Nothobranchius furzeri: one gene and its partner. The protein of the gene in region 1 interacts with the protein of each later gene in a pairwise test. Links are inferred from orthologs where the notes say so. Each region holds a gene or a part of one and is shown on either strand. Other genes may lie near its edges.

Evidence for each region.
Region 2: the proteins of cib3 (region 1) and enox2 interact in binary tests that used the Homo sapiens proteins (3 or more experiments, as listed by UniProt). The two-hybrid records come from large-scale screens. The link is inferred for Nothobranchius furzeri from reciprocal best matches to the Homo sapiens genes CIB3 and ENOX2.

Annotation. Positions count from the first base shown.
Region 1 is NC_091751.1:45,121,414-45,125,413, forward strand, and holds the end of cib3 (calcium and integrin-binding family member 3), read left to right. Parts: intron 1-547; coding exon 548-582; intron 583-910; coding exon 911-1,022; intron 1,023-2,292; coding exon 2,293-2,440; intron 2,441-2,805; coding exon 2,806-3,001; intron 3,002-3,071; coding exon 3,072-3,093; 3' UTR 3,094-3,248; downstream 3,249-4,000. UniProt on the Homo sapiens protein: Acts a an auxiliary subunit of the sensory mechanoelectrical transduction (MET) channel in hair cells. Plays a role in regulating hair cell MET channel localization and function.
Region 2 is NC_091741.1:82,228,558-82,232,647, reverse strand, and holds the end of enox2 (ecto-NOX disulfide-thiol exchanger 2), read right to left. Parts: intron 1,650-4,090; coding exon 1,518-1,649; 3' UTR 839-1,517; downstream 1-838. UniProt on the Homo sapiens protein: May be involved in cell growth. Probably acts as a terminal oxidase of plasma electron transport from cytosolic NAD(P)H via hydroquinones to acceptors at the cell surface.

The DNA.
Region 1 (4,000 bases):
CATTAACATTATTTTATAACTGCAGTTTTTAATAAAATATCTATTAAAAGGTCTTATTTTGAGCAGTACAAATAAAGGGATTTCCCCATAAATACATTTTTGGATTCTTTTAGTTTAATAATCAAATTTTTTACAGTTCATGAGGATGTTTTACTTGCTTTTGGTCCACATCTTGAAATGTTTGGACAACCCAGCTTTAAATGGTTAAAGACTTTGTCAAATATTTAATAATCAGCAATTGTTTTTTTTAATTTGCTATAACTTGACTTCTGCAGAAACAAAAACATTGTCACTTTGCTTTAAAGCTTGAAGTGATTCATGCGGTGAACTTTATGCTACGTTTATAACCATACGAGTTATCATAAATCCTGACTGAACATGATGCAACCAAATTTATTTGTGAGAACTTAGTGGTTCCTTTATTGTCAACTCTCATTTTGATCAGCGTTTGAACATATTTTATAGACGGTCTAAATAATTCCTCCTTACATAAACATACTCAAATGCTTATAAAACAGCTGTTTCCATTATCTGCTTGCTTTGGCAGGACTGTACATATTTCACAAGGAAAGAAATTCTCAGGTGAGGATCCAGATTTTTCCTGCTTCCACTGCTGAGAAGTACTAATGTGACAATCAGTTTTTGTGACTCTCAATGAAACAGAAGATACTTTTATTCAGGTCTGCACAAAACCAAACTGAAACCACAAGCTACACCATGAACGGACCGTGTCCCTGCTGTGGGTTCTAGGTTTCTGAAGCGTAACTTTCAGAGATGCATCTGACTTTCACTCTCATTGCAGAAAAGTTGCATAACTTTCCTTTATCAGGAGCTGCCCTTTCACAGTCTGCATTACATGAAGGATATTTTGTAATTCAACACTGAAAGTGACATTTGGAACCGTCCCCAGACTGTTCTACCGCTATCGGGATTTGGCTCCACAGCTCGTTCCTCTCGACTACACCAACCACCCAGATGTGAAGTTACCATACGAGCTGATCGGCAGCATGCCAGAGCTGAAGGTAGGCCCACACAAGCCCTGCAGACCCACTCACTCCTCTGTTCCCAATTCATAATTGATGACCAACTAATCGACAGAATTCTCTGGAAGGTTGTATGTTACCCGACTCCTTTAAACTTGAAGGATGCTGGTGGGTTGCCTGAGGGCACCCTTGTTAGAAATAACTCAATTATATGCCTCTTTACACAAAATATTGCAAAGGAAACACTCTATGGGGTGCCATTTGTAAAGACATATCTTAATATTTTTGGGTTATTTAGCCAATCATAAGAAAAAATAATGGGAGTTAATTTTTAAGTCATATTTTTACCATGTGATTCATTAATTTATAAACGTTAAATTTCCCAACTAATTTTTTATCCCCAAATTTTTTATTAATTTTCAACTTTAACGCATTTCACAAGAAAAAAAATGAAAATATGCATCACACAAATCTATAAAAGAGAAAAAAAGAAAAGGATAATAAAATACCAAAAAAAGAAAAAAGGAAGGGTGTCCAACATTAGAAAAACTACAATGAGAACTAAATATTTAGTTAGCAAGCTTAACATTTAATTTAGATGTAAATATTTCTTTTACTAACAAAATATTTTGGAGCTAAATATTCGTTCCAAAATAAATATACTTATTTAGAAATTTATTTTCCATACTAAATATTTAGATGCCAGCTAAATATTTTTTGTGGGGGCTAAACCAAAATTTTGATTTTGCAAACTAAATGTTTAGCTCCAAAATAAATATTTAGCTGCAGATCTAAAAATTAATTTTGGAAATTAAATATTTAATTTTGAGCTAGATATATATTTTGGAAATTAAATATTTAATTTCGAACTACATTTTTTTTTGGGAAATTAAATATTTAGTTAGTAACTTATTTGTTTTAAAAACTAAATATTTAGGTCTGACCTAAATAATTGGTTTCTAAAACTAATATTTAACTTTAAAATAAATGTTTAGCTTGCTAAATAAATATTTAGTTGAGAACTTTAACATTTATAAATGTATGAAAAACATGGTGAAAATATGACTTTAAAAAAATACTCCCTTTCTGATAGGCTAAATAACCAAAAATACTCATGTTAAATTATATCGACTTTACAAATGACACCCCATAACTGTGAAGTATTTAAATCATTATTTAGTTCAAGCTTAACATTTTAAAGCTACTTTTGGAACATAAATATCTAAATAATAATAATACCATAAAATAAAATTTGTTAACGTTTTAATATTTTAGCCGAAAATCGAAAGTTTGGTTGGTGTCTGTTCAGGATAACCCGTTTCGACAGAGGATTGCTGAGGTTTTTTCCGAGGACGGACAAGGAAACATGACTCTGAACGACTTCTTGGACATGTTTTCAGTCCTCAGTGAGATGGCGCCTAGAGACCTCAAAGCCTACTACGCTTTCAAGATTTATGGTAAAACGTCAGACTGCATAAAGATTTTTGTTTTTCATAGATTTTGGTTATATCAAGGAAAGAAAAAATGTATTATATTTAAGATAATCCAATATATAGTCATAGAAATAAAGCATCAAATTCATCCGTTCCATTATTTAATATAAAATGAAGGGTTTTAATTTCATGAATATTAAATTAGCAATATATTAAATGTGAAATTAATAAAAATTTAATTCAATTAAAAAATTAATACATTTAATTTTAAAATGTATATAAAGAGCTGATAATTTGGATTATATTCAACAAAATGTTTTTATTATCTTGAATGTTTAAATCAATCCGTGTTATTTTTCTACCGTTCCTCTTTATTTTTTTTAAATCAGATTTCAACGACGACGACTTTATCTGCAAGTCAGATCTGGAGAAGACCCTGAACAAGTTGACTCGTAACGAGCTGACAGAAGACGAGGTGAGGATGGTGTGTGAGAAGGTGATCGACGAGGCGGACCTGGACAACGACGGGCGTCTTTCACTGGAGGATTTCCAGCACATGATTGTCAGAGCTCCAGATTTCCTCAGGTATCGTAATAGTGATACATAAAATGACGTGTAAAAACATGCATTCATGTTAAATTTTTCTTGTCCACAGCACTTTCCACATACGGATTTAAGGAGTTCAAAGAGGTTGAATCCTATTCTTGTAATTGATGGACTGAAAATGGCATTTTTTTATTTTTGGGGATTTAGTCCAGAGATTTTAAACTGCAGAAATAAAAAATTGAGTCTATTAAAAAAAAGGAGACCAGCTAAATTGATTTATTATATCTGAAATAACAGCAGCTTCTTTTGCCATCCAGCCAATTAAAACACTGAAATAAATTACACAAATGAAGTTTTATTTCCATTTTTATTAATAAATCAGAAGTACACACCTACAGCTTGTAGATATTCTTTATATAGGTTTAAAAAGTAAACTTTAACCAATTTGTTTTCTTTTTCAAGTGATATTTACAATCCCCACTTTCTCACTCTCCCTTGAACGTCACGCTATGGAATTAAAAGATGGCTGTTAAAATAAATGTATGTTTACTGTAACATGTGATGAGAATCTTAAGAAAAAGATATGTTTAAAAAAGTCAAACAAGTTCATTCAAAACAAAATATAATCTGCTTATGTTTGTGTTAAAGTTGAGCCACACACACACACGCACGCACACGCACACAAACACACACACACAGTAACAAAGATCCACATATTCAACTACAAATTACACACAGGTCCAAAATTCACAATGCATAGCTCAGCTATGACAACTGGTGGTTAAGACAAATGGTCACGTTAAAGGTCCCAAACTGCTGCTGAAAGGTGCAGAACATCCTCTCCAAACCGTGGATAGAAAATTCTGGTTTTCAGACAAAAAAATGGAAAAGGAGCGAGACTACAGAGCACATTTTAGAAAATAAACTTGAGCTTTTGTTCTCAAACTTAAATTATGACTCAGTTTTAAGTTTGGATGGATTCTGAAGAGGCTAACTGTGTATCTAGCGCCACCTAGCGTCAAACTCAAGAGGGTAAAA
Region 2 (4,090 bases), on another chromosome or scaffold:
ATCTATAAAACCGCTTATTCAGAGAAGGGAAATTATTGTTTTTGAATTGTAATCATTTCCAATTGTTCATTTGATTACTTATAATGGACTGAGAAGGTGCATACTTTCACACATAGCACCAACAAGAATGGTTTCCACCAATTGGTACGCTAAAAAGTGCAGAGGTGCTGATTTTTTTCTGAAACAGGTGGTAGGAGATTGTGGAGTTTAAACGAGAGGAAATCACATATAATTAACCTTTTTTTCCAGGAGCAACAGAGAGAAAGAACCCAGTGGAGACGTGTTAGCGATGCGTGGCTGGGTTATCTGGGGGATGGGGGGTACAACCTTCATTTCTGAGCTCTCAATCTCCTGAAAGTGAAGACTTCCCCCTCCACAACCCTTTAATATAGATATGTGCACAAACAATACCATTTTGTTAAACTCCTTGCCACAGAACACACACACACACACACACACACACACACACACACACACCGACTGTCTCACCAACTAAACATTATTAACATGATCCCTTCGGTGTGCTTCCCACTTAAGTGTGATGCTAGCGCTTTGCCTTTTGCCAGGCTGACAGCCGGGCTTAATTGGCTTTTGAAAGACACAAATGCCCTTATGTAACATTTTAAAGCCAGCCTTGGGCACGGCTTCAGTAAGAAGAAACGTTGAAAAAAATTAAATAAAAAAGACAGCTCTTCAAGCAAGAATGAGCACAAAGTCAGAGGTAGTGCAGGTGTACGTGTGTGTGTGTGTGTGTGTGTGAGTGCGTCTGATATGGTTTGGCAGGCTGAAAGATGTAGCGCATGTCAGTCTTTAATCAAAGCAGACAATAACACAGAAATAGTTTTTTATACTCAAACGTCTTTTATAATCAAAAATATTATTCAAGCATTTACAGTGTATTACAACAAATGATTCTATGCAACGGTTGACAGCCTTTACAGAATATGGAGAAATATATTCATTTTTGATATATGATACAAACCGGGAACAGCAAAAAGAGAAGGGGGGGAAAGGGTTTGCAGGATCCGAGTGCTCAGTCAGACCCTGATTTCCTCCCTGATTAGCCCTGCAGACCTGGTCCACGTCGTACAGAGCCACGCGTAGGCTCAGATAGCACGGCTCCTTTTGGGGCGACACTACGTAATGATCCAATGATGGTAGAATCCACTTTTCTGTGACTCCAGGGAGTCAACAAGTCTTAAAATATTTTTGGAGACACAGAGAAAAACGCAGAGATCAAGCTCCAGAGGACTCCATCGCTGCTGCTTGGCATCAACATCCCTGTTACCACAGCAACAGGGTTTTTAAAGTTTCTGCCACCTACACACAGTCCCTGAAGTGCTCAGACAACGTTCCCCCTTGATCCAAGATCAGTCTCCTCTGTATCCTTGTACAGTAAGGTACAGTCCTGAGTCTTTGATAGTTGAGCGTTTTTTTATGTGTACTTTATTTACTTTCACATTGCTACGGTGTTTCTGCTGCCTGTCGTCATGTCCCGATGGTGTCACCCAACAGTCCTAAGTACTCTTGATGCCCTGGAAACCGCAGAAGTTCCAGCGTTTCTCCAGACTTGCTCCAACACCGGTCAGCTCCTGTCGGAAGGTGCAGGGCAGCCGAGAGAGGAGTGCCTCCACCTCACTGGGATTGATCTGGAGAAACAGGAACACAAGCATGAGCAACACGGCCATACTGCACTATAAGTGATCTATATAAATAGCAATCACACATTTACAGCTGCTGTGTCCAATCCTGGTCCTCAAAAGCCACACACCTGTTCAGCATGTCCTCTAATCACCCACTGGTATAAACCACGTGTGTTGGGGGAGACAAACCTCTAAAACATGCAGGATGGTGTCCCCCACATGTCTGAGGATCAGGACTGGACACTACTGATTTGCAGGTGGAAGTCCTTCTACAGTCTGAGATCAGAGCAGATTTTTCAAGTTTCAATGACATTTTATTAAAATGACCACACTACTAATTGTAATTTTAGCTATTAGCTCCAATCCAGCTGTTCTTGTGTTCTTTTAAAAACAAAAGTAATAAAACCAAATCCAAGTGCGAAAGAGAAGTCCGTTCAAAACAAACACAAACCATATGGGCCATGCACGCACACGGCACCATTATCTGAACTCTCTAAAGAGAACAGCTGCAGCTTTTATAATTATGAGCAGTTTGCTGTGTTGTGTGCTGCAGACATGTTAGTTTGTTATGTTTGTTCTTCACTGACAGTTTTCAAATAACGTCTGGTATACATTCACCATTTTCCTTGAAAACATCTGATGAGAATTCCCACAACACACTATTTATTTCTATGACTCACACCTCATAATTAAACATCAATAGCTAACAGAAAACAAGCACAAATGTACCTCTCTTAAAGGTACCATATGTAAGAATAAAGTAAGATAGACATCCTGTGGTCAATTTTGGTTACTGCAGTCCCTTTTTATAAACAAATGGTCCCTTTCTCACTGCCGTTCTGTGAGTTACATGGCTGTTGCCAGTTACGGATCAGCACCAGATGATGCAAGATGACAAGCAAAGACGAGTCATACACAGCAAGTTGATAAGTAGATAAATACATGTCATGTCTTGTGCTAGCACTCTTGGTTGTTTTGGAAACACTCACTACAGTTATTACGGTAATATTTCTCCAGCATAAGTATCGGCCATCTTAGTGTTATAGCTCTGAACCACTAATTAAAGCAAGTAAAACGCCACGGTTGACTCATTATTTACCTCACACATACACTTCACTGTAATATCGAGTTGTTGGTAAAGTAGTTTGAGATATTTTTAGAGCTGACTATTTTTTTTCCACTTGTTAGCTCTACATTAGCCTCTAGCCTGAAAAAAAGTGCTCCCCCATGGATAAAAGTTTAACCCCCAGGGATCCCCCCCACCCCCAAATTGCACACTGGGTAAGACACCTATAAGGTTCTTCAGTTAAGAAAAGCAAGCTTTGGGTGAAGATTCTTGTGTTTCTTTTAGTAGTTTGCTAGCTACAAAGCTACATGTGCTACAAGTACTAGGACAAATTCCTAATTATTCACAAGTTGTGCCAGTAAAACTAAAATATCTCCAAAACTAAACCTCAGATCAGTCATATTTTGACATTTTTAAGCGAGAGGAGATTATACTGAAGAGTTTATATACAACATGTGCATGGTATGTAAAAGTTGGGTTGGGAGTAAAAACCGATATTTTCCGATATTACATTTTAATGCCAATATTGTCCGATAACATCGAACATCCTTAATTACCGGTTTATTCATGCTGCGTACCCCCATAATGATATAACTCATAACCGGTCTCATTTGGACTGCCTCAAACATCCAACATCATATCCTTGACTTGCTTATTGATCAATAACTGCTGTATTCCTCTCAGGCCTCTGAAGCAGAGCGTCAGTGTTTGAATCACGGAGGAGCTGAAGCTACGATCAAGTCTTTTCACTTGTTATCAGAACTGGAGAAGGTCATTCATGCTTTCATCTCCAGGTTTGATTACAGCGAGATGCTTTCTTCTTGTCTGAAAGGTAAATCTAAAGGACAGCTGGTGAAGAGCTGATGGAGAGAATCGACTACATCAGACTCTACTGGCTTCTGCGGAGCTGATTTTAAGAGTCTACTAATGAAGCTTGGTGAGCTCAGACTCCTGCTTTAATCTGAGATTTGATAACCTGCTATGAACACACAGGAGTCAGCTGTCAACAGGTAATCAGCGCTTCTCTAGAACAGCAGATGGTAGAAGTAAATATAAAATCCTGGGCAGGTGGTGATAATGAGTGTTTGTCAGCAGAATATTTCATGAACAACAGGGCCGATTTGGATCTAACTCAGAAAATAATCTTTGGATGTTCATCTACTGTCAGGATACGGTGTTGGTAGGACCCAAAATGCAGTACCCAGGATGACACGAGGCAGGAGATGATATATAAAGAAAATCCCTTTATTTGCAGGATGAGTCAAAAATAAAAATAAATCCAAAGGGCTGAAAGCCAAAAATCCAAAATGTCTAAAAATATAAACCAGAGATCAGAAATACTAGAAACTACGAGAAGAACCAAGAAACACTAGAGCTAGGA